Linked DNA regions of Alligator mississippiensis. The protein of the gene in region 1 interacts with the protein of each later gene in a pairwise test. Links are inferred from orthologs where the notes say so. Each region holds a gene or a part of one and is shown on either strand. Other genes may lie near its edges.

Region 1 (7,097 bases):
TTGCTTGATGCACAATGGGAGAAAGAGTTCTGTGGATGTCTAGAAGTTATATTTGTCTCAACTTTGAGGTATTACACTTACAGCGACAGATGGTATTTACTAGATACCCCCACTTCAACACATTTTGGAAATCTGTTTCCCTCCTAGATAGAAGAGAATCAACCCTGTGCACATGCCTGCTGCAAGTAAAATGAAGGAGAAGAATGGCCCTTCTACCTTTTAGTCCAATAGCCTAGTGGTTAGGGCAACTATCCATGGAGCAGCAGGCTCAGATTCCAAATTACCCTTGCTTACATGGGGTTTGAACACCATCTCCCACTTCCCAGCATAGTGCTCTAAACCACTTGCTTGGTATCACTCAGAGCACTTTCCAGCCCTCCCCTTCTAGTTGGCCCTATGCACCTTGAATTTAATAATTTCTACAAGTAGGAGTTGTGGTTCAACTTAAAAAAGTGGGACTCCTGTCTTCTGGAGCAAGCAACAGAACCACAGTCCTCAGTGGGTTAACTTCAAGAGGGCCGAAGAGTGCTCTGGGTAATGCCTAGCCTGTAGCCTGGTGTTTAGACCACTTTGCTGAGGAGCAGGAGGTGCAGTTTCAAATCCTGCTTTGGGTGAAAGGGGATAAGGACTCGGGTCTGTGGCTCCCTTGGCATGTGCCCTAATCACTGGATTAAAAATATGGACGGTCCCTTTTTCCACCATGGTTTTTCTCCCATTAAAATTTTGGGACTTACCAAGCATTATGCACATACTTAAGTGATTCTAGTCTCTCAAGCAGCTGCTTAGCCATACCACAGCCAGGTGGTATCTTAATAGACAGGCTACACTCTATCCCAAACTGTGCATAAAAGTGCCAAAAACTGCTGTGACTACACCCTTAGATCTTACTAATCACAATGAATACAATCTGTATGGCCATCTCAGACCAGTCCCTGCTAGACACTGCGCTCTTCAGGGCAGTTCAGTAGTGCAAGCAACTGTAAGGATAGAGAAGAAATAGAAATGTATTCCAAATCTGAATGCCGTGGACAAGTTGCTGCCCAGTCAAGCACTTGAATCTGTTGGGAAATAGCACATAAATCCTCAAATTATAGCTAAAGGCTTAGACAAAGAAATAAACAAATTCAGTTTCATATGGCAGCAATATACACGATTTCTACTTGCCAAAGAGTTAGAAAAGTGTAAATGTTCATACAGTTTAAGGCAGAAAAAAATAGCGTACATAATCAGGGAAAGAAAAACTACCAAGAAGTGAATACTTTAATTTTATGTATCTTTCTTTTGAAAGGCTGCCTGCATTTATAGTTCTCATTTCTTCTTTTTCATGAGCTGTGCACACTCCAAGGAATGACTTCAGCAAAAATGAAAACCGTTTGAGTCTTTAAATAGTTTAAATGTTTAAAAAGCCCAGTGACCCTGGACCAGGATCCTGGACCCTTGAGTGCCATGAAAATCTTATAAGAGTTCTGTGCAATACTAGCATCTATGTATGGTTCACAAGAAAAACCCAGAGGTTTAAAATAGGAATCTACAGGATCAAAAAAAAAACCAACACCCTAATCTGTTGTGGGTTTTCTGAGCTCTTTGCAACAGAAGAATTGCTCTATTGTTTTTCTGTGGTCAAGAAATGAATGAAAGCTAAAAGCTGGCATTTCTGAATAGTGCCTTGAGTCTAAAGGGGTTGAGAATCACTGGTCTATTAAGTTGAGCTGAAAGTAAACCTAGCACCAGGCAGGGGAGAGACTCAGTCCTTTCCCTTGAGATGTCAATACGGTGGGGGGGAAGGGGTGCTGCACATTTGAAGGCACCAGATTAATGCTTTGGAACCTTTTCTCACATTCAGGGAAGGTCAATGGAAAATTCCTTTATTAAATTAAATGCCTTTAAAAATTTCCAGGCAGATTTTAGCGTAAGAACAAGCACAGGTTGTACAACATTTTCCAAGTGCAAAACTGGTTGTGAAAGGCAGAATTTCCTGTAAAACACTAGCACAAAGGGGATCATGTTTGGAATGTAAATAATTCTGTGCAAAACCTGGTACATCTCCTTACCAGACACACAAATAAACTGAAGAGAAATACAAGACTTTGCTTAGTTAACACACAAAAAAATGAATTCTCGAACGCTACCAAGATTCCATCGTTCCAAACTGTTTGCTGCAGAGTACAATAAATAGCAAATGCTAAAGCAACCTTAGCATTATCATTAAGATATTATGGCAAAGAGAGAACATAATTATTAGTCTGAATTATCCTTTTTAGGACTGTTTTCTTTTTGGGAGGGAAGAAGGAGCTAGGCTGATGAGCACAACAGCTCTTGCATTATTATCCATTGACCTTCCCAGAATGTGAGAAAAGGTGCCAAAGCATTGATCTGGTGCCTTCAAATGTGCAGCACCCCTTCCCCCCCACCAGCTTTCTGTGCACACACCTACCAAATATATATCTATATACAAGTGAGCACACACCTACTAAATATATATATCATTTCTCAGCAAGCTCAACAAAGACAAGAATTTTGCTGCTTTGGGTTTCTACAATGCAGATATTCTCTCCCAAATCCCAATGACATCCAGTACATTATATATGTATGTGTGTTTATATGTGTGTGTCCGTGTGTGGTGGGGGGCGGGGGTTTCTACACAAGACACTACATCATCATAGCAATAAGCTACGGCAGCATAACTCGTCACTAAGGCGACATATTGTCAATGGGCACTAATCGTGATGCCACTGCTAATGCACAGTAGCAATGACCTGTGTGCCGCCAGGGCTGCACAGTACTGGCAGAAACGGCACAGTCATTTAGTACTGTGCTAAAGCAAGTACTAAATGACTGCACAGTACCGACTGCACAGTGGGGCGCACATGTAGACGCGTTCTGTATGTATATGTGTGTGTATATACATGGGCGACTGGTGCTGCCTTAGTCGGGGGGCACATGCCCCCCAGTAAGTGGGGGGGATCCCCCCATGGCCAGTCCCGCTGACCAGGGAGGAGGAGTCCCCCCATGGCTGATCGCAAGACAGCCAATTGCTGAGGCTGCATCTGGAAGTGGCTACGGCCGCTTCTGGGAGCGCCACGGAGCTCCACTCCTCGGCCGGTGCTTGCAGAGGGGTACACCAGCGCTCTCAAGGGGTGCACGTGCAACCCCATGCACCCCCTACGTGTCACCACGTGTCCGTGTATGTAGATAGATAGATAGATAGATAGATAGATAGATAGATACGTGTGTATACTGTATCTGTGTGTCTTTAGATAGCTAAATAGATATGTATATATGTATATGCATGCGTGTATATATATATGTGTGCACATCTGTGTATGTATATAGATAGTGTGTGTACTGTATCTGTGTCCGTGTTTGTAGATAAATAGATATGCATGCGTGTGTGTGTATATATATACACACACACACACACACGTGTGCATGTCTGTGTATGTATATAGATATGTGTATACTATATCTGTGTCCATGTGTCTGTAGATATGTATGTATGTATATGCATGTGTGTATGTATGTGTATATATAAGAATATATATATACACCATATGTGTGCATGTCTGTGCATGTATATAGCTAGATATGTGTGTATACTGTATCAGTGTCCATGTGTCTGTAGATAGATAGATAGATAGATAGATAGATAGATAGATATGTCTGTAGATAGATAGGTATGTGTGTGTCTGTAGATGATACACAGACAGATAGATGTGTGTGTATACGCCGTATATGTGTGTGTCCCTAGATGGACAGCCAGATAGCCAGCTATGCGCGTGTGCGTGAGCGCTTTCCTTCTGGCTATAACCAAAACAGAAGCGCTCGGCTCTGCTGGCAGCTGCCGGCGGGCGATTACAGCAATCGCTGGTTTCTTTCTTCTTTTTTTTTTGGCCAGCGATTGCCCGGAGCCGGAGGGACACTGCGTCAGCGCGGCTCCCCACGTGCGCGCCCGGCCGCCGGTGACACACGAGCCCGCGCGCGCTGTTCTTTCCACGAGCAAATCGGCGCCGCGCGGAGGCGGGACCCAGAGCAGCCCCGCCCCCGCCGTTCTCTATAAAGGCCGCCGCTGCCCCGCGCTCGTAGTGCCCGCCTGGCCTGAGCCGCCCCGGAGCTCTTAGCATGCAGAGTGTCGTGTTCTTTGCCCTCCAGCACAACTGCGCACAAATGGAGCGGACTGGTGGCAGCAAAGAAGAGAAGAAAGGGAAGATGAAGAGAACGATGTGAGTTGATATGAGCTGTATGCCTGTCCTTGCCCAGCTCCCTGCAGAGCTACCTGCAGCTTTCAGGATCGGGATTTGAGTGTGCCTCTCAGTTGGAAAAAGCCTTTGATCTGTAAATAGGCATCTATAGACATGGGGATCTATGAATAGATCGATGTAGAGGTGTGTGTATGTATATGCATATTTGTGTGTGTGTGTATACATATCATCTGGAAATAAACCTCTATAGACATAGGCATCTATACATGTATATCTGCTAATAGATGCATATGGCTATGTGTGTGTACACGTGTATATTTATTTGTGTGTAGACATAGGCATCTATAAATAGTGTGTGTGTACACACACACACACACACACACACACACACACACAGATCTGGTAGATGGATCGGTCGATTTATCTATCAGATTTGGGCATTAGTGACACTTACATTTAAATAGGACATTTACACAGCCTTGGTGGTCTGTTTTAAAACAAAAAATGCTTTCCGCTCTGATGCAAGTATGAGGGCAAGGACAGAATGGGGTATTTTATGTATTGGATGTCACAGGGGATTTAGGGAAGCCCAAATTGTAGAAGCCCAGAGCAGCTAAGTGCTTGTGTGTGCTGAACTTTTGCTGAGAAAGGCAATGGCTGGGTGGGTCTGGTGCATGTTTGAATGGGGAAATGAATGCAGATATCATTGTTGTGCCTAGAAACAGTGAGGTTGTACGGGGTGAGTGATGTCCTCCTATAATCCTGTGCTGCATACAGGGTATAAGGAGTTGAAAATGCTGCAGGGACCCACTATCCCAAAACAAAGCATCTCTGAAAAGCTTGCATTGACTTGATTGTTTGCATTATCTGATGAGACCTATGATATTTAAACTGTAAGGAACAGGCTGTTGTGAAGTTCCCCATGTCATGTAAAGGTCTGTGAATCATTCTGTGCTGCAGCTTTACTCTTTTTTGCTGGTCTACAGATTTCATAGTGTGGCCCTAAAATAGCCTAGCCACTTAAGTGATCATTTGGGATTCTCTGAGTCCAAATATTGGCCCTCAGACTGAGAGAGCAAATCTCTAAATTTAAATTTATTTATAATAAAAAGTTCTTCTAAGAACAGTACACCTGAGACTCAATTCCCATTTTAGTCTCTGACAGGCTAAAATTCCCATTGATCATGGAAAGACTGAGTCCTGGTCAACATGCTATATTGTGTCATGTTCAAAAACACACCTCTATTTGTTTCACTATTCAGAGATGCCTTAGTAACAGTTAGTCATTGTCCTGTCACAGGATAGGGGCTGGTCTGCTCACCTTAGCAGTGAACCTTTGTGCTCCCTGAAATAGGAGTCATACCTTTCTGAAATGGAAATTAAAGATGTGGAATCTGGTCCCACAGCTGCTGGGCTGGCAAAACTAGCATGAAACACTAATGAAAAATTTTGCAATGCTCTTTCCTAGCTCAAGTAAAAAATTGTGAAGATGTAACAACGTGTTTTTGTTTTGTTCTGTTTTTAATGAACTGTTTATTTAATATAGTATTTTCTTATTTTCTAGTGTTAAAGATTGGAAAACAAGATTGAGCTATTTCCTGCAAAATTCTTCCACTTCTCGCAAAACGAAGCCCAAGAAAAAGGGAAAACAACATGCTTACTTCAGGTAACTTAAAGATTCAGATTTTGCTCAAATGAATCGCAGATGTTTTAAACATGAAAGGAACAAAACCATCTAACATTGTCTATCCCTCTTTATACAGGCCTTCTCCTGAAGAAGCCCAGCTGTGGTCAGAAGCTTTTGATGAACTTCTAACTAACAAATGTAAGTCAGTCTTGAAGGAAGATAGAGCAAGCTTTTATTTACAAGATTACCATCTCCCTGTAGTTTTTAGGAAAGGCTGTCACAAATAAGAATAAGTCTTGGTCTTCAGTGCACATCCAGATTCTAAATTGCTCATTGAACAACTTTGTGAATGCATGAATATCTAAGCCCTAGCATGTCCTTTTTATAAAATGTCTGCATGTACCTAAAAAATCATAAGAAAAATTCTCATGAGAAACATTTCTGACTGCAAAATCTTTATTTCTTGCTGTAGCCCTAATCTTTGTCATCTCCCAGTATTTTTAGCTGGCCCTGTATTTCACTCTAGCTTTGCAGGAATATACTGCATAAATGCAAAAAAGAGCCATCCTTTCACACCATACTTAGTTTCTGCATTCAGCAAGCTTTGCTCATGCACCAACTCTTATCAATTGACAATTAACCCTTAACAATAAGAGTCTACTGAATGTCACGATTGATTGTAGTAGAGGATGAATTGGACCCTAACGCATAGCTCTAACATCTTGCTCCAAGCAAAATGCTAATACATGACAGTATTTTCCTCAACCCAAATGGTACATGCTTTGTGCTGCTTGTATACAAGAGGGATTCCTATCCACGATAAACTGTTAAATTTACGTATTTTGGGCTTGATTCCACAACAGTGAATCAATGGCAGTTTATTCCTCTTTGGGTTTTACTGCAGTCTCTGCAAAAGAAACCACTTACCAAATGAGCAAAAAAAGACTAATTAGATCAGCATTTGCTCCAGTAAACTTTGAATCAGCCTTTTCCTTACAAACATCTTCCAGTAGTTTATAGCTCTGTCACAAATATTTACTCCCACCTAGAAGTGAATATACAAGCTCTCCTCTCAAGAGTGGAATTGTATAATGTCTGTTTTAAAGATATAGCAATTTTTTTTGGCAGGGAGGGTGCTTTGTTTTATTTTTAAATATGTTGAGTTTAGATTGGTTTGTTTTTTTTGTCTTATGGTTTCACTAAAAAAAAAAAAATGAAGCGCAACAAGCTGTTGCAGAGATTAATAATTGTTTGTATATATGCAGAGAGGC
Region 2 (7,722 bases), on another chromosome or scaffold:
GGGAAAAGACATTCCTGTAAAGTGCACAGAAGTCACACACTGGTGCGACACTGGGGAAACCTTGAAGGGCTGGACAAGACAAGGCATCCTGAACACAGGCTGGGGCCCAGGCAAGGGAAACAGAGGAACTAACCCTTTTGAGATGCTGCTTTGTTTCTTTTGGTGCCTGGTTACAAGTCAAAATCCAAAACAGCCACAAGTCTCCAAGATGCAGTTTTACTTCTAGGAAGGAGCAGAAAGCATCTACTTTGAGCCCAGCCTGACATGACATAGCTGCACTTGGCAAGAGGGGGTGGCCCGATCTAGCTCAGATCTGCTTCTCCAACAGCTGAAGCAGTTACTTCCCCATAACTCTGCCTCCCCCTCCCTAATGCTTGGGGAGGGCATTTGCATCCTCCCATGCTTTACAGAAGAGGGTAGAGGGCAAAGAAGTGGTGGTTGTACTGCTTTCATGGATATCTATACCCATCCTCTTTAACAAAGCGATGGGCAGGACAGATCCCAGGCGCGCACCTGCTTGGAGAGCTTCAGGACTGCAGCAACACGGGGCAATGGTGTGAAGACACTGCTGCCCCGATACCAAATGCAGAGGGTATGCTCCCATTCATAAACCAGCAGCTAGGAAGCTTTTACTCATCATGGATTGGGACTGGCTAGAGCAGAAGAATAATACAGAGCACCTGGGCTCTATTGAGGCCTCCACCACTGACCGTAGGGAAAGTCATGTCAGTGCCTCAGTTTACTTATCAGGAAGTGGGTACAATACTTGTCTACCTCTCCAGAGGCTTAACATTCACAGGCTCCCAAGAACGCACAAGGGAGACAGAAAATACAAATCATGCATCTGTCCAGGCTATAAAACAGAACCCCAGAAGTGCCCCTCCAGGGTCGCTGCACCTACATCTTGCAACTATCACACCCATTCTACGGAGAAAAATCCCCAAACTCCCCATCCTTCACAGCGATGGCTGTCACTTTGGTTTGTCACCGTTGTGCGTGTAACACTAAGCTGCAACGAAGCCAACGTGTGCACAAAGCAACTGCATTTTGCTACAAATTGCAAGCTTAGCTTGTCGCACAAGTGCCAGGCTCAAAACTCAGGGTAGACAGAGGCCTGCATCATCACCAAAAGGTCAGTTTTCAGAGGGTGACTGCACCCAAAAGCGTGCAAAAAAGCCATTTTTCCCCACCCCCAACTAATAAAAGATATCACAGATACTCAGGAACCTTAAACCAACACAGCTACAAACCAAAACCCAGAAGCACCCGTTTGCATCCTTGAAGGGTAATGAGCAGACATTGCCATCCCTTACACAGGCTGCAAAATTAGCATGTGCTCTAGGCTTGCAAGACACAGCATCCCTCCCCACACAGTATTAGCACATTGAAAAAAGGCTGCTCTAAGGAATTAAGTTTCATTTCACTCAGGAGACATCTGGATAAACTAAAATCAGGTTTCGTGCAAGCATCTGGAACTTGATTCCCCCAGCACAAGGCCCCCCCCCCTTAAGCTTCCTAGTTTAATCAGGAATTGAAACACCCACAATACAGACTGGGGCCCTCTCAGGAAGCCCTATGCTGCAGAGTTAAGATATTGGGATCCAGTTTCCTGCTGCAGCATTTAGACAAATGTTTAAACACTTCTTGGTCAAAACCAGCTCTAGGGGTCTATTCAGGGATGCAGAGGGCTGGCAGGTTGGGAAGTTTCCTCCAAAACCCCTCAGCAGTAGCAGGGCCAGTCAAAGCCGATGCATGAACCAGGCTCCGGTGGCCTGAGCTGTGCTTCAGGACAAGCCTGGTCCCCCCGCCTGTTTTTAAGAATTAGAGATTTCAGGGATGCCCTTTTAGGGTGAGCAGCCCCAAGCTGGGCAGCGATGCCCCATGCACCACCCTACCATGCCGAAGCATTTGGGATGGCACAAGGCAAAGGAAGCAGCCCCTATCCCCAGGATCTCTTCTAGCAGTGACTGCAGAGGCACTGCAGATGCCATTTTAATCCCATATTACACATCCCACAATCCCAATGAGCTCTTTCCTCTGCAGCGAGCTCTGGCATAGGCATCGGTGGTGACCGAGAGCAGGCAAGCCGCACTGGGGTAACCCGCATGGCAGGCACATCTATGCCCATTCAGGAGTTGCTCCCAAAGGACTCTCCCAGGGACCAGCACCTTGTCCCAAACCCTGGGCAGGCCTCGCCTCTATCTTCCCTGCTCCGCCACCAGGCACGCACACCCTGCCACACATCTCGCATCTCCTTCCACCGAGCACCCAGGAGCGACCTGGGCATACAGTGCAACCTCAGCCTGTGCTGCAAACCGGGAGCAACTCTGCAGGGAGGGAGGCAACTTCGCACAGTAAAGAGCCAAACATCCACGCCCAGGAGTTATGTTTTCCCAGAAATCTTTACAGACCAGGCCCCACGTTTCAGATCAGCGCAGGGCCAAGACCCAGGGTACAACCAAACAGCTAAGGAGCTGCCTGCACCTCCCAAAGCAGCCCGAGCACCTATGCAATGCCCAAGCTGCAGCGTACTCCCACCCATGCAAGCCCCAAGTCACTTGCTCACCCCCCAGGAGGGAAGGCACCGACTGCTGCAACCTGGGGGGAGACGACCCACAGCAGGACCTTAAGCAATGCACATAAAAAAAAGACACGAAGGCAGCTCTGGATTTGGCACATCTGCCAAATCCAGAGCAAGGACTTTGCACCCTTTGCCTGGGACCCCTGGCCTAGTGCGAGAGCAACAGGGCCAAGAAAGCAAGGTCACCTTGTCTCACCCTGCGGGTCAGCGCCTAGCAAGGGGGTGCAACAACACAGCAAAGGATCCGGAGCAAGGTTAGGAAACGGATTAAACTAAAATAAAAATAATCATAATTTAAAAAAAAAAAATTGCCTTTAAAAAGGAGAGAAATGGGGGAGGGAAAAAATTAGCTTTTCCCTTGCAGGGGCACGCATAGATCCTGCTCCAAAATAGGCAAACCAAACCAAACCCCTGTGCCCAGCCCGACTTACCCGCAGCAACAGCAGCAGCGCCCGCAGCCTCCCGGCCCTTATCCCGGCGCAGCTCACGTGCCTCCCGGCCGCTCACATGATCCGCATCACCCGCCCCCGCCCCGCGTGAGCCCGGGCGGGGCCTGGCTGCAAGCGCTGCAGGAGCCGGGGCCATCCCCACCCCTGCGAGGTCTGCCTGCCTGCCTGCAGGCAAAGCCCCTGCTGGAGGGTCTGCAAGCAAAGCCCTGGCCGGGACAGTGCACTTGGCCCCCATATTGCACCCCCCGCAGTCCCTACACCGTGCTGGAAAGAGGTGTGCATGGCACATCCCCTGGTGTGGCACAGCATAGCTTGACCTCCAGCTCAGCCCCAGCTGGAAGCTTTGCTAGAGAGGCAGTGCAAGGTCAAACCCAAAATGCAGACAGCTGGGTGCTGATTTAGCAAGCGTTTGGCCAGACCAGTGGATTGCAAGAATATATGAAAGGGTTGCAAACAAGTGTTAAAAATGGATTTGCTTTTAAAGGAGGAAAGCACAGGAAACTAGCATGGCTCCAGCCTGCAAGGGGCTGCTTGGGGCCCCCGCAAGCCCACCCCTTGCCCTGCATGCTGGGGGCAGCAGGTTGGGAGTGAGGGGTGCTGGGTCAGGCCTGGCGTTCGAGGTTTACAAATGGGTGCTGGTACGAAAAGGGTTGAGACCACTGATCTGTATGGGGCTCAGGGACAAGGAGCCGTGGCCTCCAGTTGCAGCAAGGGAAGTTGAGGTTAGATATTAGGAAAAGCTTTCTCACTTGGCGTCAGATACCGTCCACAGCTCAGAAAGTCTGGAGTCCTTCATGTTTGCAAACCACTCGGGTACTGGGGGGGGCATGACGGCAACAAGTGCCAGCGGAAAAATTGGCTAAATATTAAATACTGCTTAGTAGAGCAGGAATGATCATTAGCTGGAGTGCATCCATCATAGAAACACATAGAAACCAGCTGAGCGTTAAGATTGCAAGGCTCTCAAAAGTTGGGATGTGCCAGGCTTACCCTTGCCTGCACCTTGTTCACTACCTGCCTTTCAGGAGCAGCAGCAAACACCAGCTCCTCCCAGCACAGATCCATCCTGTGCCCCGAATATGGCTGTGTCCGGTCAAAAAAGGGCAGCATTTTGTAGCCATTGAGGGCTTGACTTTGCATGCTTAATCCTGTTTTCTGCATGTAGGTGGGGATTTTATTTTGGTTGCGGGAGGAGGCAGTGTCATTTCCTTGCCTTTTTAAAAACAAAAAATCAAAATGAAAAAGGAAGACATTCGGTCATATGGCACGATCTTGATGCCGATGCTCTTTGCAACAGAGGAGTTGCTCTGTTATTTTGCTATAGTCAAGAAACGAGTGAGAACGGACATTTTCCAAGGAGCGCCTTGAGTGTTTGAGGGGTGCCTCAAATCTATCGAGGGGTGCCGCTGGTCTAGAAAGGTTGAGAACTGCTGCTTTGGACCCGCCTGGCAGGCCTCAGCCGCTTGAGCCCATGGAGTCATTGGCAGCGGTAGTGGGTGGTTATCCCCTGCGGGGACCAGCAGAAGAGGGTTGCCAGCGAGTGCCCTAGATGTTGGCTGACTGCAAGTGGTGAGGCTCACCCGTTCTCCCAATTTTGAAGAGGAGCATGCCCCAGTGGGCATAAACTCCCCCCCAGCACCATCCCTTCTGCTCCATTCCCTCCAGGCCATCATGTCTTTCCTCCACCCCTGTGCTGCAGTTGGATTGACCCGACCACACCAGTAATCAACCTAAAATTCCTTTATGAAACCCAAAGGCTTAGTCATGACTTTAGGCAAATGCTCTAAAATACTTTTCCAGGAACAGATCAGAGCCAGTCCACCATTTCCAAATGTTCTCATCAACTTCCTCAAACACAAAGCCTCCTTCGGCAGGCTTTGCTTACTCTTAGTCCCTTCTTGATGCAGTATTGCCACCCCCATCGTGTCAAAAATCATGAGACAAACTCTTAAAAATCAAGAGATTTGGAATGTAAATCATGAGATGCTATTTTTGAAGTGTGCATGGGGGGAGGGTTATTTGTGAAGGGGTGTGGGGGGGGGGAGGTTTGCAGCCCTGGCAGGATGCAGGGTACTGTGGGTGAGGGGCAGCAGCAGGGCTGGGGGCTGTGGCTTGGGAGTGAGGGGCAGACACAGGCATGTGGACAGACAGCCACCCACGGCTATGTTGCATGACTCGCCCCTGCCCCAGGGTCCCCATTCACCCCAGCTGCTGCCCCACTCCCTCCCCTCGATCTTCCCCCTGCCCCGTCCCCTCCACAGACTTACCAGCTTGGTGCTCTCTACACGCACCGGAAGAAGAAAATCCTGAGATGTGATCTCTCTATCAGAAGATCATGAGTCAGAGTTAATTTGGCTTGGAAATCAGGAGTGTCTTGATTTTTTTCATGAGAGTTGGCATTACTGTTGATGCTAGTGAATGATGTAGCCAAGGATTATGCAAGAGGCAAGGGGTTTGGGGTTTTTTTTGGAGGGGAAGGGTGATATCTTTTACCCGACCTGAAATAAAGCTACACCTGCTTTGTGTTCATCAAGTCTGAGCAGAAATGCAACCAACCAGTCAAGACTTGAACTGTGAAGATGGAGGGGAAGAGGCAAATTCCCAGGGGTAGCAGAGAAACAATTAGCAGAAGAAAGGAAGCTTATTCCTGGCAGATCAAGACCCATCCAAAGGGAGGGAAGGGGGTCATTAAGAGGGGGGGGAGTCATTGCTTCCCCCCTCAGACCTGATGAAGACAGTCTTGCATTTCAGAGCTTGTCTGACTTTATTCCAACCAGGTAGGTGGGGCAATAAAAGATTAAATCCCTCCCTTCTTGATGGGCTTTCCTGGACACACTGGAGCCAAGAGGTTGGCACACCCAGCTCCTTGCTATTGTCTACTGCCTTTTTAAGCCTTTTTAAGTTAGCTTATCGCTAGCAGCTCCTTTCCTTTGTCTAGGGCTTAGCACCTTAAGGCAGGCCATCCAACATCTTGACAGATGAAAGAAGACAAAATCAGTGGGTCAGTGGTGCTTGGCAGTGATACCCAAGCTGCAAACCGCCCACAATGGCTACAGGTCCACTGGCCAGACGGAGGTTAAAGCACTTTACCACCCTAACAACAGCACTGTACATGCCTGTCCTTTTTTTTTTTCTCTTTGGATGCTTGGAGGTTTGATCCATGCTTGTATATAGGAATAAGCTTGACCATGCTATCACTTACTGCATATGGTATTTCTTTAACATACTAGGAGCTGCTTCAGTGCAGGGTGCTGGGCCGGACAGCATGCTGAGAATAGGAGGATCGGGTCCATTGGCTTGCCTGGGGTTGAGACAGACAGGTTCAGCTCCCTGCTTCGCCCCCAGCTTCCCTGCTGTGTGATCTCAGGCATGTCTGCCTGCTTTCATCAGTAGGTTGGGGAAGATGTTGCCTGGAGTTCCCAGGGGTGTTTCCGGCTGTGTGGGGTCCGATGTTATGCCTACGCTGTATTTGGCAGGCAAGTCAGGATCTAGCAACCCTCTGTCTAACTCTTGCAAAACTTTCTCACGTACAGCTCCCAGCACGGGCCAAACTTGGCCTGCCCTAATTCTATGTGTTTTGCTAACGATAATAACTTAATTGCTGACCCAAATAAATTACTTGCCCAGAGCTACTGGTAAGTAGAGTTTTATAAAGCGGTTAACCTCCCTGCAGATCCATCCCTGCAAAAACTAGATGCAGTTACGTGTTGCATTGAAATCCTCTTCTGACGGCGTCCTGGTTTTGGAAAACAAAACACGATGGGGAGTAATGTTGGACCCTGTGGCTTTAAGAAACTAGATCATGATGTCATATCTTGCCCGGATCACAGCTAAGACCTCAGTATTTAGGTTTGCCCAGGAACAGCATGTGCCTAACCCTTGCTGCCCGGTCAGAAAATCAGCTTGCCTGTACCTATGGAGCAACAGGTCACAACTGGGGTCCCAAGAGGCAGCCCCGGGGGGGGGGCTGTGTTGCAACACGGAGCAGGGACACAGGGGTTCAGAGAGGCTTCCTGTAGAAGGGGAGGCGTGGGAAGAAGGTCCTTTGGGATTGCATGGGAAAGCATTGGGCATTTTAGCTCTGCATAACGTGCCCCCTCATCTTGCTGTGACCCGGGAGCTTCAATCCTTTAACAAGCAGGAGAGAGACACGACTGCAGCTGTTCTTTCCTTCCTGCGGCAAGAGCTGCCTCACCCACGGCAGTTTCCCGAAGGTGCTCAGGGTGATGCGTGGTGGTTTCCTGCTCAACAGAAAGCCGGGGCGGAGGACCACGCTGTGCCCCGTGCAGGGCTGTGTTGCAGAACGCCTCACCTCTTGGCCTATCCAGCAGCATGAAGCAGCTGCAGAGCAATCCCTCGCCATTCCCCCCATGGGCTGCGGTGGCAAGGGAGCACCCCGTGGCTCCAGGTGTGGCTGCCTTGTGAGCACTGCCCATGCACAGTGTGGATCCTGCCAGCAGGCCTGGACCATTCACCCCTGAGAGCAAGATAACCCATGCATCCCTGTTCTGCGATGGGGGTAGGACGGGGAATCGGCAGTGAGTGGAGACCCATCAGACATGACTGAATGAAGGGATCCTGGGTGAGGGATGGAGGCAAGGGCATAGGCCGGGGGGGGTCAAGCTCAGGCGGGTTGGAGAGCCGCGCTCCCTCCTTTTCAGGTGCCTGCCAGCCACATGCTGGGTCCCACAC
Region 3 (7,458 bases), on another chromosome or scaffold:
CTCAGCTGGGGCAGAAACTGCCTCTTTGTCTGTGTATGTGTACAGCGCCTGGTGCCACCGGGCCCCAAGTTTAATTAATACCTCTGTATAACTAATAGCATGCTATGTTATTTCTAACATTATTTCTATTGATCCCTGTCTTTATTGTATAGCCCTGGGTGTCACTGCATTAGTTTTAGTAAGACTGCCTTACTTTTTATATGTTGTTTAGTTTACCCAATATATTCGTATTCACACTCCTATTATCATCATTGTTAGCATTAGCATCGTTACTACTACTACAACTTGCAACGCATGCAGTGATTAATGTATTTAACTACCTAACACCCCCCCTCCCCCCGAAGTAGACACCTACCTTTGTTTTGGGAAGTACAAATGAAGCAGGGGGAAAAAAAGAGGGATTTCTTTTCCTTTTAACCAAACCATTACAGTTTCCTAATTCAATTTTCAATTGCTAGTTTCTGGGGGAAAGGTTAGTGGAGTATGTGAATAAATAAGGTGTCATATCAAAACATATATATAATCAAATATATTTTGATTAATAACCTATAATCATGCATCCAATCACATATATGATTTATACGAATAATGCATCCTTGCATATATAGCCAGATGTGCATAGTTTAACAATATGGAGCCATAGATGTGTGTGTGTATGTATATGTGTACATATATATGCGTGTGTATATGTATATATATGTGTGTATTTGTGTGTGTGCATGTTGTATATGTACAAATGTGTGTCTATACGTATCTGGGTGTGTATATGTGTGTTAGTATGCATGTGTATATATATGTGTGTATGTGTACAGGTGTGTATATATATTTGTAAGTGTGTATGTACATATGTCTATATGTGTGTGTTTCTATATGAATATGTGTATATATATGTATGGATACATACATATGTGTCTATATGTATGTGTGTATATATGTATGTGTGTATCTGGAGATATGTGTGTATATGTGTATTTATGATTTATAACAACAATGCTGTTAATATTATTGAAACGTGTTTGTTTTTAATCACAAAGTTTGGTGTGTAATTCTATGATCTCTAGCAAAATTGCCTTAATTCTTATAGTTTCAATAAGGATAATGATGATTCTGATTATTATTTTGATTTATATCCTGCTCTATTCAGAAGGTCTGAGTTACCTACTAATTACTATTACTGTTATTTTGAGTAACTGTGACCATCTAAAATATACAATTAATCACAGCTCTGTGCATATCATTAATATATAACTTAAATACATACTTACATCAGCGTGTGTGTATTAAGAATATATTCTAAGAATGCTAATACTATTATGGAAACATTTTATTATACTGTACTATATTATATTATACATTGCATCATATCATATCATATCATATTCATTACTTGTCATATATTCTATTATATTTATTGTTTGACTGTGTGGGTAATACATGAATCTTTTGCCAAATTGCCTTCATAATTAGTGGTATTCTTGTGTTATCTGCTTTACTGTAATCCACAATAAAAAAAGCAGCAATGCTAACACTAATTTGCATAATTGCTCTGCCTCTGCTATTTATGACCACATTTATCACCTCAAACATCAGAGCAGATATAATTACTTAGCTTTACTCCCTCTAGTGACTAGCTGTTATTTTTATTTTTTTTTATTTTTACCTCTCACAGCAACAGCAGTAGATCTTGCTATTCCCCATTGTTTAAATGTCGAATTGTCCATTGCTGGGTATTAGTTTCTCCTTTTTGCTAATGGCCATGGGGCCTTGGCATTGTGAGGTCTTTCCCATGGTTAATTATCACCCGCTATAATTCTTCGTGTCCATCCAGGCCGAATCACGTTACCTGCTAATGCGATTTCAATGGCCGGGAGTGATCGATTCACTGTTATTATGGTTCACAGGCTGCATAGATGATGAGTCTCACCCGTGTAAACTCGTGGAGCAGCTGGCTGAAGGGGAAGGGTCTCATGGGAGAGCGAGGGGTCGGAGAGAGTGAAGGTTTGAAAGCGGGATGAGGAGGAAACCATTTGGAGACAGCCCCCGAATGGGGCGGGTTAAAAATGGCTCAGGTCAGAGCTTATACCTGGCGCCTGCCGAACCTTTCCGAGACGGCTGCAAACTTCGGTGCCTGGAGCCAGACCTGAAATAGTCCCTGTCGGATTCCAATCTCAGGCCTACGCTGGCCTCGCTGAGATCAAGAAGCCGGGGAGCACCCCAGGGATCACTCTGGGTTTACTCAGAGGTCACCGACTTCAGAATCCAGCCTGTGTCCCTGGGGGTCGCTCTGGATTTCAACCAAGGTCATGGAGAGAATGGGCCTCATGCCATTGACAGCCACCAAGTTAAGAGCCGAGAAAATCGGAGATGGGAGATCCCCTTTTCTTTCCCCTCCACCGCCTCCCCTTCCCCTCTCCCGCCCCATGGAAAATGCATCCCAAGCGAATTACCTTCTCTGACCCTCCTTGCTTGTCTTACAGGGAAATATAATCCACGGGAGAAAGAGAAAAGTCCCCGAGACAGGAGCCCAGGTTTGAAGCCACTTGGTAAATCCAGTTTCGGAGCTGGGGAGCGAGGTCTTCCCAGCAGCGAGTCTTCGAGGACTGGCACCCACAAAGCCCAGCCCTCCAAATCCAAGGAGTTCTGCACAATAAGAGAGAGAGAGAAAGAAACCAGCAGTTTTTTGTTTTTTTTTTTTGGCGTGTCCCTGCAAAAGAGTCCAGTTCCGAAGGCTTCTGCTTTCCCCTGATCTCATCCTCCACCAGCCCCAGGATTTGCATAAACTTGTTTCTCCGGGAGCTGGGATTCGCTGGCGAAGTGTAGGCAAAGAGCCCAGACCTCCCTCCCCCTTGCCGCCTCCTCCTCTTCTCAGCTGTTCGCCAGAGTTTTTCCCAAGAGGGGCCTCTCAGCCTCATTGTGCCTGGCTGGGCTGCCATCAGGCACAGAGAAAAGGAAGACAGAAGGGGGAGATGGGGGCGGGAGGGTTGCCTCAGAAATCACAGCTTAAAAATTCCCCACTTCCCTGTTTCTAGCTCAAGACCTGCAAGAAGAGGCCTGTCCCTTCTCACCTGCTCTCACTCGGGGTGGAAAAGTATTAAGGGGTTCCCAGTCTCTGCCAAGGACAAGAAATCCACCCGTCTTCCTCTCCCGGGCTAGGGTAAAAAGTGAGTTTTAAGTCCCCTTACACACGTGTCTTTGTCCAGCTGGGAGGGGGAAAAAAAGTGAGTTGTAACCCCCGCCCCCTGCACGCACACACACCCAGACTCGTGCTAGGATAAAATGAGGTTTAAACCTCACCTTGGTACCAAAGGGACCGTGTATTTCAATTCCCCTTTGCTGGGAAGGGGCAGGGGGAAGGAAGACTCCTACTAGGATAAAATAAGTTTCAAATCCCCCCAACTTTGGTGCTAAGGGGAACATGTGCTTCAAATCCCCAGTGCTAGGGGGGCAGGGAAGTGACTTGCAACCCCCCTCCAGACTCATACTAGGATAATATGAGTTTCAAATCCTCCCCTTTGGCACTAAGGGAAATGCGAGAGAGGCACAACATGCACGTAGATACGCAGGCCCACAGACACGCACACGTTCACACACAGGGGCACGCATGCACATACACACACATGCACCCCACAAGCTAAGCATCCCCCAGACGCTAAAAGCACCCCCAAGCTAAACACACACAACTCCACAAGCCATGGGTGACTGGTGCCTGGGGGGGCACCAAAACGCAGACTGGGGCAGGGGGGTGTCCCCCCAATGGCTGATTGCCAATGGTGGGGGGGGGGGGTCCCCCAGCAGCTAATCACTAAGCCAGTGGCGAAACCAGAAGTGCACTTCTGGTTTCACGGCTGGCGCTTCCAGGGGGTGCACGGCCGATCTCGGGGGGGTGCACCCCCTATGCATTGATAATGCCACAAACTGAACATACACATGCACACACACCCCTCCTCCTACAAACGTATTTACACCCCCACAAGCTAAACACACACACACCCCAGCTAAAAATGACCCCCCCACACACACTCAAGCTAAACACACACACACCCACAAGCTAAAAAAACTCCATTTCACCTCCTCACAGCCCTGCCTTGATAAAGGTAGTTACAAGTTCCCTCCCCTACCCTCGCACGCTTGCAGCTTAAAGAAAAATCGTTTCAAGTCCCCCCCACATTCCGACCCCTGCTTCTCATTACCCCCTTGGTCTCTGCTGTCCCCAAATCCCCCTCATCCAGGATGCCCAGTCCCCAATCCCAATAGTGGTCTGGGACCCAGAGGCCTTCAGGCCTAGGTTTTGACCTTTGTACTTAGCTTAAGCTGAGTGCTTAGCTTGAATTGTGGTCGAGACATGCACTCGGTGAAAGGAGCAGATGGAAAATACTGTTCCTGACTTTATACAAATTGGGGAGTTGGCTAACTAAATTGAATAAATTGCTTCTCGGCCTCTTGTTAGCTCAGAACAAGTGTAGCCTGGGCAAAAGAGGAGCAGTAAGAGGAAAAAAACCTACCTCTACCTAAGACTGAAAAAATTACTTCAGAATAGAAAATTTCAGTTGAGGGTAACCATATTTGGCAAACAGAAGCAAAAGTATTAATATGCATTAGGAGGGAGACTTAAACTCTTTTTATGTAATGGGCTCCCCTCGCTTTATGTGGGTTCTCTATGTGCGAATTCGCTCTTATGTGACGACCCTTTTTATACCAAAAATTTGTTATATGCAAGATAAATTAATGCTTATGCGATTAGTGTGGTAGAGTTGCTTTGTGCGGTGCATTGTGGGAGGGATGCGCACCAAAATACAGTCTCCTGTGTGGATCTGTGCTCCTCACTCGTGTGCGACGTGTTTCTGTAGTTGCCATCCTCATTACAATAGTACTGTCTGCTACTGGTGAGCACCAAAAATGTCTTGTAAAAGTGATAGAAATGGGCCTGGGGGTCAGTACAGTCAAGGTCTTGGAACGTATCCCTATTTGTTGCATTGTAAAATGGGTTCCCTTTATGCAAATTCAAGTTACGTGTTGTTTTCCAGGAACACGTGTATTGCATAAAGCGAGGGAAACCTGTATTAAGAAATGCAAAGCTATCTGGTATATAAAGAGTGGTGAGAGAGCGTACCCTTCGGAGCCTGCTCTTAAAAGACCCAGTCACCAATCCGAGACTCAGAACTCAGATGAAGGAGTCAGGAACTGTGGACAAGACCTCCCGGACTGTCCATCCAGTGATGGTGCATTTGTTATAGCTCGGTGTGGTGAGCATGCTGTTCGGCTTTTGACTAACTAAGGTATTAGAACTGTAACTGCTGAGGATACCTAAGGACAACCGTATCTTAGTCTGCACACTTGGTAAAAAGACCCGTACCATCATTGGATTAACAAGTAAGAGACGAATTTCCCACTCGGCTGCCTTGGTTTAGATTGGAGATTCCCTCTTTCCCCAGTCCACCACCAGAAGGGAGGACTTAAAATTCCCATTTTTTAAACTGGGAACTAAGGGAGTTTCACTCTCCCTCCACCCCCTCATTCTGATGGATGAGGAGAAGGAAGAGGCAAGTCAGCTTCAATTTTTAACCAGCCATAAGCAGATCCCTTTAGACTCCCCAAAAAACTGAGTTTTGAGGCCTCCTCCCTGCTGCTCCCCCAATGGAAAAAAAAAAAGTCCATTTCAAGCTGCTTTTTCCCTTGGGAAAAACCCAATTTGGACCCCGCGCTCCTTCCTCTTTTCCTTTTCCCTGTGCAAATTTTAAGTCTTCCCCTCCCCTCTTCTTGGTGGCTAAAAAAATGGGATGTTCAAATCAGCTACTCATTACCCAGCCTGTATTGATGCATGGGATTATTCCATCCTAAGTGCAGGACGTTGCCCTTCTTTTTGAACCTCATGAGATTTTTTTAGGTCGAATCCTCTAATTTGTCAAGGTTACTCTGATTCCTAGCCCTACCCTCCAATGTATCTACTACTCCTCCCAGCCTGTGTCCTCTGCAAACTTTTTGAGGGTGCACTCTGTCCCATCTTCCAGGTCATTGATGAATTAATTCATTGAACAAAACTGGCCCCAGGACTGACCCCCGGGGCACTCCACTTGATATCAGCTGCCAGCTAGACAGCTAGTCATTGATTACTACCTTCTGAGGCTGGTGATCCAACCAGTTTGCTATCCACTTTATAGTCCATTCATCCAACCTGTACTACATTAGCTTGCTTGTGAGAACGTTGTGGGAGACCGTATCAAAAGTCAAGGTATATCACATCCACTGTTCTCCTCACACCCACAGAACCAGTCATCCCATCATAGAAGGCAATCAGGTTGGTCAGGTATGACTTGTCCTTGGTGAATCCATGCTGACTCTTAAATAGAAATTAGAAGCTTTACTAACATACTAAGGCACCTAGTGCGATGATATTCAGCTTAAGAGCAAAGCAAAAACAAGTCGAGCTTTATAGGAATGTGTACAAATTAGTTAGATTTTATATAAGGTTTAAAAATACACAACAAACTAGGCAAAAATCATCAAAAGAAATTGTTTCATTAATCCTGTAGCCAACATAGTTAATTGTGCATCTCTTGTTCAGATGTATAAAGCACAAACTAGCCTGTGTGTCTTGACAGCGCATCCAACACTTCACTGTCAGTCATCTCCACACCTGAGTTAATGTTCACTTAAGTTCATAGGACCACACCTGAGATAAGGCTTTTGGCAAAAGCTATAAACAGTCTACAGGGCTGTGAAATACGAGAGAAACATTAAGAGGAATGGCTGACAGACAGCAACATTGCAGAAGGAAGGACGGCTTGAATAGTAGAACAAGACCACTGAAAAGGTGAGGGGGTCATGCACACCTATGGAGTAGTGAGAGATTAGCAGGAACTAGGGAGATGCTAATGAGTCACAAAGTCAGTGGATTCTCTCATTACTGCCAGAATAGAAATGCCCCTGCCCCTCCAGGTAGATGGTTTAAAAACTTGGGTGGAGCAGGAATCAAAGGTTGGAGAGAGACCCTGTGTGTGTGTGTGCATGTGTATGTCTGCACACATGTGTGAGCCCTGTTACATGTTGATTAAAGCTGGATAGAAACCAGCTGTAAAGTTGTTATACATTTTCAAGCACTGTGTAGCTGCTTGGCCCTTTTCATAGCTGGCCCTTTACTACATTGATTGCACAACTGACCAGTTAACCATGTGATAACTACTTGAGAGGCTAGGATTTCTTAGGGTGATCTCTTTTATTGGACCAACTAGGTAGCTGGTATCATGTTAGATAAGCTTTCATGTGTAAGACAGTCTTCCTCAGGTCTCTGAATATAGGAGGTAATTACTTTGCACTTGTGGCCAGTCCAAATTTATTTCACGATTGACCAGTAAGATGTGCAATATATGTAATGTGTGCCAAGGGCCTAGGAAGAAAGTGTGGGGGAGCTGGGATGAATCACACCCGATACAAAGGCAGGATATCCCGGCTGCCACGAGG
Region 4 (8,072 bases), on another chromosome or scaffold:
GCCCGGGCTCTCTTCTGCTTCTTCACAGCCCCCGCGCCTGGGTCCGCAGCCCGCTTGGGGGCAGGGTGGGTGCGCACAGTCTCCATGGCGGCCCAGAGCTCATCCTCTTCCTCCTTGACCTCTTCCGCCTTGGCTGGGTCGGGGTCTTCGTCCTGGGGGAGCAAGGAAAGGGGGGTACAGACATCAAGGTCAGGGTCTTTGTCCTTGCGGGGACTGATAGTCTCCATCCCAGAAGCTGTAAGGGTCCCCTGCCCCCCCACACCTCAGATGCCCCCTACCTGCTCCCCATCCCTGCCGTCCTGGCCCTGGGACCCCCCCCTCCGCCCCCGCCCTCCTCCACTCACCTCCCAAGCCTCTCGGCTGGTCAGCAGCAGACAATTCAGCTGAGACTTCAAGTAAACCTGCGGCCAAGGGGGCACCAAGTGAGGAAGGAGCAAACAGCGCTGGGGGGCCATAGGACAGATGCCAGCTAGGGTGCTTCGGGAGGGTGCTGGGGGGGTCCCAGCTCACCTTGTGCTGCAGGCGTTTGTCGTCCAGGCCGTGCAGGCGTAAGAAGCGGTCAAGGCCACAGGAGGCGACAAGGGGCCGGGTCGGGTGGCACTGGACCCCGCGCACAGCCCCCGCGAAGCCCTTCAGGCACTTGAGTAGCCGCCCTGGCGGAAGGGGGGAGGTAGGCAAGGGGCCGGTGAGCAGGCCTGAGACCCCCAGGGAGCAAAGCCTGGGAGACACCCCCACAGCCCTGACAGCACCCGCAGCCCCACCAGGGCTCACCTTGTCGCAGATCAATGACGGCCACGTCCCCGCGGGCACTGCCCACCACCACCGAGCTGCAGGGAGATGAGGCGTGAGCAAGGGGCCGCCTAACCCCCCTGCTCTCACCCCCAGCCCCCACCCCTCTCCCGGAGCAGGGGAGAACTCAGGTGTCTGGGGGCCCAGGCACTCACTTGGCCCCGGGGGCAAGGGAGAGGGCAGTGAGCGGGTGCTCTCCATATGTCACCTCCAGCACAGGGCGCCGCTGTGGGGAGCTGGGGTCATAGACACGCACCTAGGAGGGAGAGTAGGGGTCAGGGTGCCCTCCCCACATGGCCAGCTGCCCAGGCAGGAGGTGGGGGATGGACCAACCACAGCGTTCCTGTTATTAAAAGTAACACCCTGCCCCCAAACCTGTCCCTACAACCCCCCCTCCTTCCACAACCCCGATTTCCCTCCCACCACCCTGCTCCCACCTGGTGGTGCCCAGTGCAGGTGATGATCTTCTCAGAGCCAGGCAGGAACTGGAGGTCGCGGTCCCAGACGGGCACCCTCAGGTTCAACCAGTCGTGCCGCACCTTCCGGGGGGAAAGGAGGGGTGAGCCTGGGGGGGGGAGGGGAGTACACGTGGGTGATGCCACAGAGCCGGACAGGAGCCATGAGGAAGGGGCAGGGGTGGGGGGCTGAGGATGCCCAGGCCCAGTGGGGTGGGGGGGAGAACAGGACAGGACAGTGAGGCCAGGGCTGTCACTCACGTTCTTGGCACGGAAGATGGGCTCCTGGGGCTGCTGCAGGTCCCAGACCTTGAGAGCGTTCTCCTTCCCGCCCGTGCCCACGCACTGCGGCCGTGCCGGGTTCTGCCGCATACGGCACACGCCGGGCCCCACCTGCAGCTCTGCCTGGCAAGGTGGGGGGAGGACAAGCACAGGAGAGATGTTACCCAGGGGGCCACCCTACATCCCCCCCAGCCTTGACGGGCACTGGAGACGGGGTGTGATGTGGTGTGTCCCCACCCCCAGCTCACATCCCCTCCCAGGGGCACCGGTCAGGCTCTGCCCCTCCCTGCCAAAGCAGCCAGGAACCAGCCCTGGACACTCAGAAACTGGGCGGGGGGAATGGGACAAGGCACCCCCCCAGTTTCCCATGGGACCCCTCCCCCAGCCCGGCCTGCTTCCTGCCAAAGACTCACAGCCTCAGAAGAGTCCTCGTGCCAGACTTTGAGAAGCCCGGACTCCACGCAGGTGATGAGGGAGCTGCCGGGGCCAGGAGATGGAGGCAGACACGGACACAGACAGACGTACACACAGACACAGAGAATCTCGCTAAGAGCAGCTGCAAACGCCAGGAGGCCCCAGGAGCGAGGGACAAAACCGGCAGGGGGAGAACGGTGCCCAGGGAACCCCAGGGAGGGCGGAAACATCTAACCCCTTTCAAGGGCCCAGGCTGCCCCATGGGGAAGGGAGCAGACGGACCCCTGCCTGGGCTCTGGCAGGGAGAGGAGACGGGTGCCTGGGACGCAAGGCACGGAGGAAGCCGTGCAGCAAACTACTGCCCCTCGGATCCAAGGAGGGGGGAGGACGGGGCTGGACAGACGCCAGGCCTTGGGGGATTAAACCACAGCCCCCCACCGGGCCAGCAGAAGGAAGGGGGAGGCTCGGACACCGTACCCGTCCTGCACAGCCAGGCCACGGAAGGGCCCCTCCCCGCCAGGGCACAGCCGCGACTCCGTGAACTTCCCCTTCTCGGTGCTGAACAGCTTCACCGACCGGTCCAGACAGCCCACCAGGATCTGGGCCGGGGGAGGGGGAAGCACCGTCACGCAAAGCTCCTGCAGACCCCCCTCCCCACCCCCCGGGGCCTGACCGGCCGGCTCCAGCCGGCCCCTCACCTCCGACTCGAGGGGGTCCCCCCAGCACATGGCGCAGACGCCCTCATCCCGCCGCAGCGCCCCCGACGCCGTGTAGTTCGTGGCCTGTTTCTTCTGCAGGTTCACGCCTGGGGGGGCAGGAGATGAAAAAGAAGGACGGGGTTCAGATGGGGGGGCACAGCTTGGGAGGAACCAGTCGGGGGGGAGCAAAAGGGGTGTCACAAGTAGAAGGGAAGGGGGGTGCCAGCCTAAGGGACAAGGAGGGGGGCGTGCCCCCCTCCCCCTGTAACTCCCCTGGGGGGGCAAGAAGGCACTTTCCTGCCCTTGGGGGATAAGGGGAGGCCCCATTAACACCCCGGGGGTCACGATCCCCGCACCCGCTACCTTTGAGGATCCCGGTCTCGGCGCCGACCCACACGTGATTCCACCGCGCGGGGGACGCCATGTTGCTCCCGGTCCTTGCCTCTCTCGGCTCCGGCTGGCCGCACTTCCGGCGAGCGCAGGGGGGACCGGAACTGGGGCGGAACCCCGCCCACGCGCGCACTTCCCGCGGCCGGGGGGGGAATCCTGCCGGACCAGAGGCAAGAGGGGGGCGGGGTTTCCGGGATCAGTCCGCCCGGGCCGGCTTCCGCTCTGCGTGGGAGCGCTCTTGAAATTGCTCCGGGCTGCCGCGTTCACGTGACGCCGCGTTCCCGCCACCTCTAACATGCAACAAGGGCGTCCCGCGCGTGGGGGGGCTCCGCCCCCAAAGCCCCCCCATGCAACCCCAACTTCCCTCCCCCCGCATGCCCCAGCTGTAAGCTGGCCGTCAATAGTACCCCCCCCCCCCTCTAATCTATGGTTTTAAGGAGCAAACCTCTAGGCCACTCGCAGAGCAGAGGCTGCTTCCCACCACCCCCCCTACATCCACTGCTCCAATGCCAAGGCCCCGGAGGGGCTGATGGAGGTAAGGGGACTGCCCCAGCCCCACAGAGGATGCTGGATGGAGATGCAGACCCAGGACCACGCGGTCAGGGCACTGTTAGGCTGCAACTGAGACTAACCAGCCCCAACCCCCCCCCCCCAGCTGAGCTCCAGGTCGGATAGCCACACACAAACACGGCCACAACTGCTTTAGACAGAGATGTTTTTATTCATTAGGCCGGGTATAGACAGACAGCAGCTGGGTTCGTCCCTGCCAGGCCAGCCGCCCTTTAGGTACACAGCAAAGGGGAGAGGAGGAGCATGTTCCTGCTGCAGCCACATCACCTCTTCAGCACTCCAGCCTGCAAGCAAGTAGTGAGAAATGGGGCCTGCTCCTTCACCACAGCTTGAATGTGCAACCAGCAACCCCCCCCCCCCACTTCCTCTCATCCAGCCCCATGGTGAGGTATCAGGCCCAGTTCCCCCCACACCACACAGGGCTGCAGCCACTGGCCTCAGAGGGACCACTCAGTCACAGAGTTCAGCCTGGGGCGGTATAAGCCTCATCCTTGACCAGGATTTGCTGCCCCACTTCCTCAGGCCCTGAGCACTCACCATGTGGGGGTCACCACCTCCAAGCCAGGAGCTCAGCTCTCCCTGCAGAAAGAAAGCAGTACAATAAGCCCCTGGCACCAGGTGTGATGGCTCCCCAGCCCCCTCCTCACCGGCTTTCAGGTGTTCAAAGGTTTTCATGCTATGCATCAAAGTGAGCTAGTTGAACTCATCACAAAACCGCAATCAGAGCCACCCACATACCCCTGCCTGCAGCAAGGGAAGATTCTCACCCTTCTGCACTCCAGAGGGTTTATTCCAGCCTCTTCTCTTCCATGCCAGGCAGCCATGGGGGGCACTCACAGCCTAGTCACTGCAGCCAGATGATTTCTCCAAGGATCTTCAGCCTGGGGGAGGGTAAGGAATGTTTAAGGGGCCCCAAGCAGAGCAAGGGCTAAGGCGAGGGCTCTACAGAGGCAGGGAGCGCCCGTGACACTCAGAGTCCGATTCTCAACAGCAGCATTCAGCCGAACGAGATTCCAGAGTGAATTCATCCCGTCAGCGGGCAGCCCTGGGGGGCAGGGACCAGGCACTCACCTGGGCAGAAGCCAGCAGCAATGTTCCCTCCTAGCACCTGGGGAGAACCAGAGCATTCAGTTATAGGCACCCACCACACAGCCCCCAGGCGCCCCTAGCCCCCACGATAAGCCAAGAGTCCCATCAGACAGTTCCAGCCAGAACAGGTCATCCTCCTCTCCGGCTGCCGGCACCAGTGGGTTCAACCTTTGCAGGTTCTGGCACCAGAACAGGCAGTAAGACAAGTGCAAGTCTCCTCATTGGGACAGGCCTGGGGTGGGGGGTTGCAGCTTGGGAGCTATGATGGGGGCAGGGGCTACTCACCACTGCCGGGCTCCAGGGGTCCTGCCTGAAAAGAGACAAGACGATACAACAGGGTGAGGGGATGCAGGGGGCTGAGGCTGGGGCAGGAGCAGAGGCAGCTGCGGTCTGATCAGGGCTTTGGTAACAAATTGCCATGAGACACAAAGTCGTCCAACCAACAAGAGTCATCCTTTCAGATCGCTGGCCTGCGGAGCCCCCCAGGATAGCACTGGCACCAGCCAGGGTCTGGAAGAGGGTTCCCTCCCCTATCTATCCTCTCAGCCCCACAGACCCCCACAAGGCCCAGTCCAGCCCCACAACCTACCTCCATGAGCACAGCCACAGCCCAGCCTCCACAGAGGAGCCTTTCAACCTGCAACAAGGAGATGAGGATCTCAGGGCTTCAAAAGCCCAGCCCCCCCATAAAAACCAACCCCCTACAAGGTATCACAGGTAAAGAGAAAGGGAATGAAGACCCTCCTAAGACCCACCCCCCTTCCCCCTGTGGGGTCAGGCAGGGCTCCCAGGTTCTCAGAAGGAAGCTGGCATCAGGGACACTCAGCCATATGCTTGTCTGTTTTCTATTCATCACAGAACAGGCGGGGAGCAGGTACGCGCCAGCCCTGCCCCCATCCCAGCCAGAGCCTCACACCCACGGGGAGCAGCACTCACCTGCAGAGAAGCTGCAGGCACCTGCAGCTGGTGTGATCCATGCCTGAGGGAGGAGACATGCGTGAGACCCCACACACCAAGACACAGCCCAGCCCAGCCCAGCCCTCCACCCGGGGTGGGACCCTACAGTGCCACTCAGAATCTGGTAAAGGCTTTCTCCACTGAAGCATCAGCAAGAGAGAGTTCGCTGGTGTCGTCCTTGTGGCACAGCACATATCCCCCGCCCGCCGTCGTCACCCCTTCAGAAGAGGGGAGCCTGCGACTCACCTAGGCACAGGGCAGGCACCAGGGCCACCAGACCTAGCAGAGAAAGAAGGGCAGAATTAACATGCAGGCAGGCAGGAGGCATGCACCCCCCCCCCCCGCGAAACCCAGGCAGGTCTGTCCTCAGATATCATGGGGGTCTTCACACGGCCGTCAGCACAGGTCTGTGATAGGTCTCGTCATAGAACAGCATCCCGCCGCACCCCAGGTTCTCCCCCACCCCATGAGGGAGAAGGGGGCTTTTGCCCCCACAAGGCCCCAACACCCAGGGCTCAGGAGATGGAAGACCCCAGGCAGGGCGAGGGACTCCCTCCCCTATACCCCGACCACAGCTCCTGGCCCCATACACCCCCACAAAGGGAAGAGGGAGGCTTCATAAGCCCCTATGCAAAGGGTGAGGGTCTCCCCCCAAAGGCTGCAGGCTCCAGGGTCAGGGGGGACTCCGAGCGCAGGCCGGGGGGGGGGGGGGGTGAGCTCCAAGGGAGGCTCCCCAGGGCCAGGGTGCCCAAGAGGTTGGAGGTCTCCAAGGCTGCATATCCAGCACAGGATCAGTGGGGGGGGCAAAGGGGGGTGGGGGCTCCCCCAGTGATTAGGGAGTCTTGAGGGCAGGGTTTGGGGGTCTCCCCAAGGGGGGGAATCTCCAGGGCAGGGGCTATTGGGGGGGGGGGGGGGGGAGCTGCACATGGGCATTTCATGGTGCCCCGGGGGACATCACGGGAGGTATCCAGGGCAGGGTCTGAGGACCCCTTAATCCTGCCCACAGAAGCCCCCAACTCAGGACAGGCCCCTTGGCCCCCAACCCACGTGGAAACCGCCCCCCCCCCCCACGTGGCTGGCAGCAGCACCCCCTCCCCCCGGTCCCTGCCCCGCTCTCCGCCGCAATACCGCCAGGGCCGAGGAGGAAGGCGGGAAGCAGCAACGGCCCCACACGGCGCGGGGACCCCGGGCGGAGCAGACGGCGGATGGCAGCGGACCCCCCGTCCACTCACCTGCAGCAACTCGCAGGAAATGGCCGAAAAAGCCCGCAGGCGGGGCAGAAATACTCCGAGTCGCGAAGCATGCTGGGAGACTCCGCCGGGCCGACCAATGGGAAGGCCGAGAGCGCCCGTTGACGTCAGGGAAGGGCGGTGGCATACGCAGCGGGGCTTCCATACGCATGCCCGGAGAGGAGGATGGCGCGCGAGGAAGTGCGCATGTGCCTCCCTGCGGGCGGCAAGGAGGGTCCGTGCGCATGCGCGAAAGTTTGCGGGAGATGGGAATAGGAGCCGCATGCGCAGCTCTTTGGGGACCCCCCCTTTAGAGACCCCCCCACACCGCCTTGAGCACCCGCCCCAGGCCCTGCGCTGGATGCCCCCCCACACTTCTGGGGAGTCCCCAGACCCAGCCCTGGAGTCCCCATGTTATGGGGAGCCTCCCCAGCCCTGGAGCTCCCCCCCCCCGCGCTTGGGGAGCCCCGTCCAAACCCCACCCTGGAGATCCCCCCACTTGCAGAGCCCCCCAGACCCTGCCCAGCAGCCCCCCAAACACCCCCAATGCCCCCCCCACATTTTCAGCAGGTGGCCGAGGCCCCCCCCCCGCGCTGCAGGGCCTTGGACCCATGGAAGGGAAACAGCACCCCCCCCACCCCTCCCAGCCCAGCCCAGCCTAGCCGGCGGGGGTCGGGTCATCCCGGGTTTATCCCCAGCTCGTGACCCCAATCCGGCCTCGGGGCTGATCCGGAGAACAATGCCCCTCTCATGAGCGGCGGGGCCGGACGCGGGGCGGGGAGACGGCAGCCGGGGGCTCCTCTGGGGAGAAGCAGCTTTTTTAATGGAGGTTTTGGTACAAAAGAGGCACGGCTCGGGATACAAACCCCCCCCCTCCACCCTGGGGCAACTAGTGCTGGAGACCGCCTGCCCCAGTCCGGGGTGCTTTGGCCCCTGGCCTCGCGGCACTTTGGCTCCAGTGTCGGGACGGCTTCGGGCTTGTCAGAGCCCAAAGCCGGGGGGCTCCCGGTGTCTCCAGCCCCTCTGCTCCGTGGGGCTGGGTCTAGGGCCCCCCCTTGCCCGGAGCCAGTGGCCTGGGCGGCAGCGGGCATGGGAGGCTGGAGGGGGCAGAGAGGGGAGGAGAAGAGGGTCTGCCGGGGGGGCGCTCTCAGTGCCGAGGCCCCCGGCCCCCGATGATGGCCTCGGTCTCGGCGCTCCAC

The links.
Region 2: the proteins of RGS2 (region 1) and CTSB interact in a two-hybrid assay, tested with the Homo sapiens proteins (2 studies listed by BioGRID and IntAct). The link is inferred for Alligator mississippiensis from reciprocal best matches to the Homo sapiens genes RGS2 and CTSB.
Region 3: the proteins of RGS2 (region 1) and DDR1 interact in a two-hybrid assay, tested with the Homo sapiens proteins (2 studies listed by BioGRID and IntAct). The link is inferred for Alligator mississippiensis from reciprocal best matches to the Homo sapiens genes RGS2 and DDR1.
Region 4: the proteins of RGS2 (region 1) and WDR74 interact in a two-hybrid assay, tested with the Homo sapiens proteins (2 studies listed by BioGRID and IntAct). The link is inferred for Alligator mississippiensis from reciprocal best matches to the Homo sapiens genes RGS2 and WDR74.

The regions. Positions count from the first base shown.
Region 1 is NC_081828.1:61,772,011-61,779,107, forward strand, and holds the start of RGS2 (regulator of G-protein signaling 2), read left to right. Parts: upstream 1-4,067; 5' UTR 4,068-4,119; coding exon 4,120-4,220; intron 4,221-5,763; coding exon 5,764-5,865; intron 5,866-5,962; coding exon 5,963-6,024; intron 6,025-7,097. UniProt on the Homo sapiens protein: Regulates G protein-coupled receptor signaling cascades. Inhibits signal transduction by increasing the GTPase activity of G protein alpha subunits, thereby driving them into their inactive GDP-bound form.
Region 2 is NC_081824.1:8,402,794-8,410,515, forward strand, and holds the start of CTSB (cathepsin B), read right to left. Parts: upstream 3,116-7,722; 5' UTR 3,013-3,115; intron 1-3,012. UniProt on the Homo sapiens protein: Thiol protease which is believed to participate in intracellular degradation and turnover of proteins. Cleaves matrix extracellular phosphoglycoprotein MEPE. Involved in the solubilization of cross-linked TG/thyroglobulin in the thyroid follicle lumen.
Region 3 is NC_081834.1:56,448,828-56,456,285, forward strand, and holds the start of DDR1 (epithelial discoidin domain-containing receptor 1), read right to left. Parts: upstream 3,140-7,458; 5' UTR 3,066-3,139; intron 2,730-3,065; exon of another isoform or gene 2,641-2,729; 5' UTR 2,448-2,640; intron 2,036-2,447; exon of another isoform or gene 1,844-2,035; intron 1-1,843. UniProt on the Homo sapiens protein: Tyrosine kinase that functions as a cell surface receptor for fibrillar collagen and regulates cell attachment to the extracellular matrix, remodeling of the extracellular matrix, cell migration, differentiation, survival and cell proliferation.
Region 4 is NC_081838.1:3,266,732-3,274,803, reverse strand, and holds the start of WDR74 (WD repeat-containing protein 74), read right to left. Parts: upstream 3,129-8,072; 5' UTR 3,063-3,128; coding exon 3,002-3,062; intron 2,746-3,001; coding exon 2,639-2,745; intron 2,540-2,638; coding exon 2,418-2,539; intron 2,004-2,417; coding exon 1,940-2,003; intron 1,650-1,939; coding exon 1,506-1,649; intron 1,329-1,505; coding exon 1,227-1,328; intron 1,046-1,226; coding exon 945-1,045; intron 828-944; coding exon 772-827; intron 654-771; coding exon 511-653; intron 402-510; coding exon 345-401; intron 153-344; coding exon 1-152. Other genes in the region: TMEM179B (transmembrane protein 179B), read right to left, coding at 8,021-8,072. UniProt on the Homo sapiens protein: Regulatory protein of the MTREX-exosome complex involved in the synthesis of the 60S ribosomal subunit. Participates in an early cleavage of the pre-rRNA processing pathway in cooperation with NVL.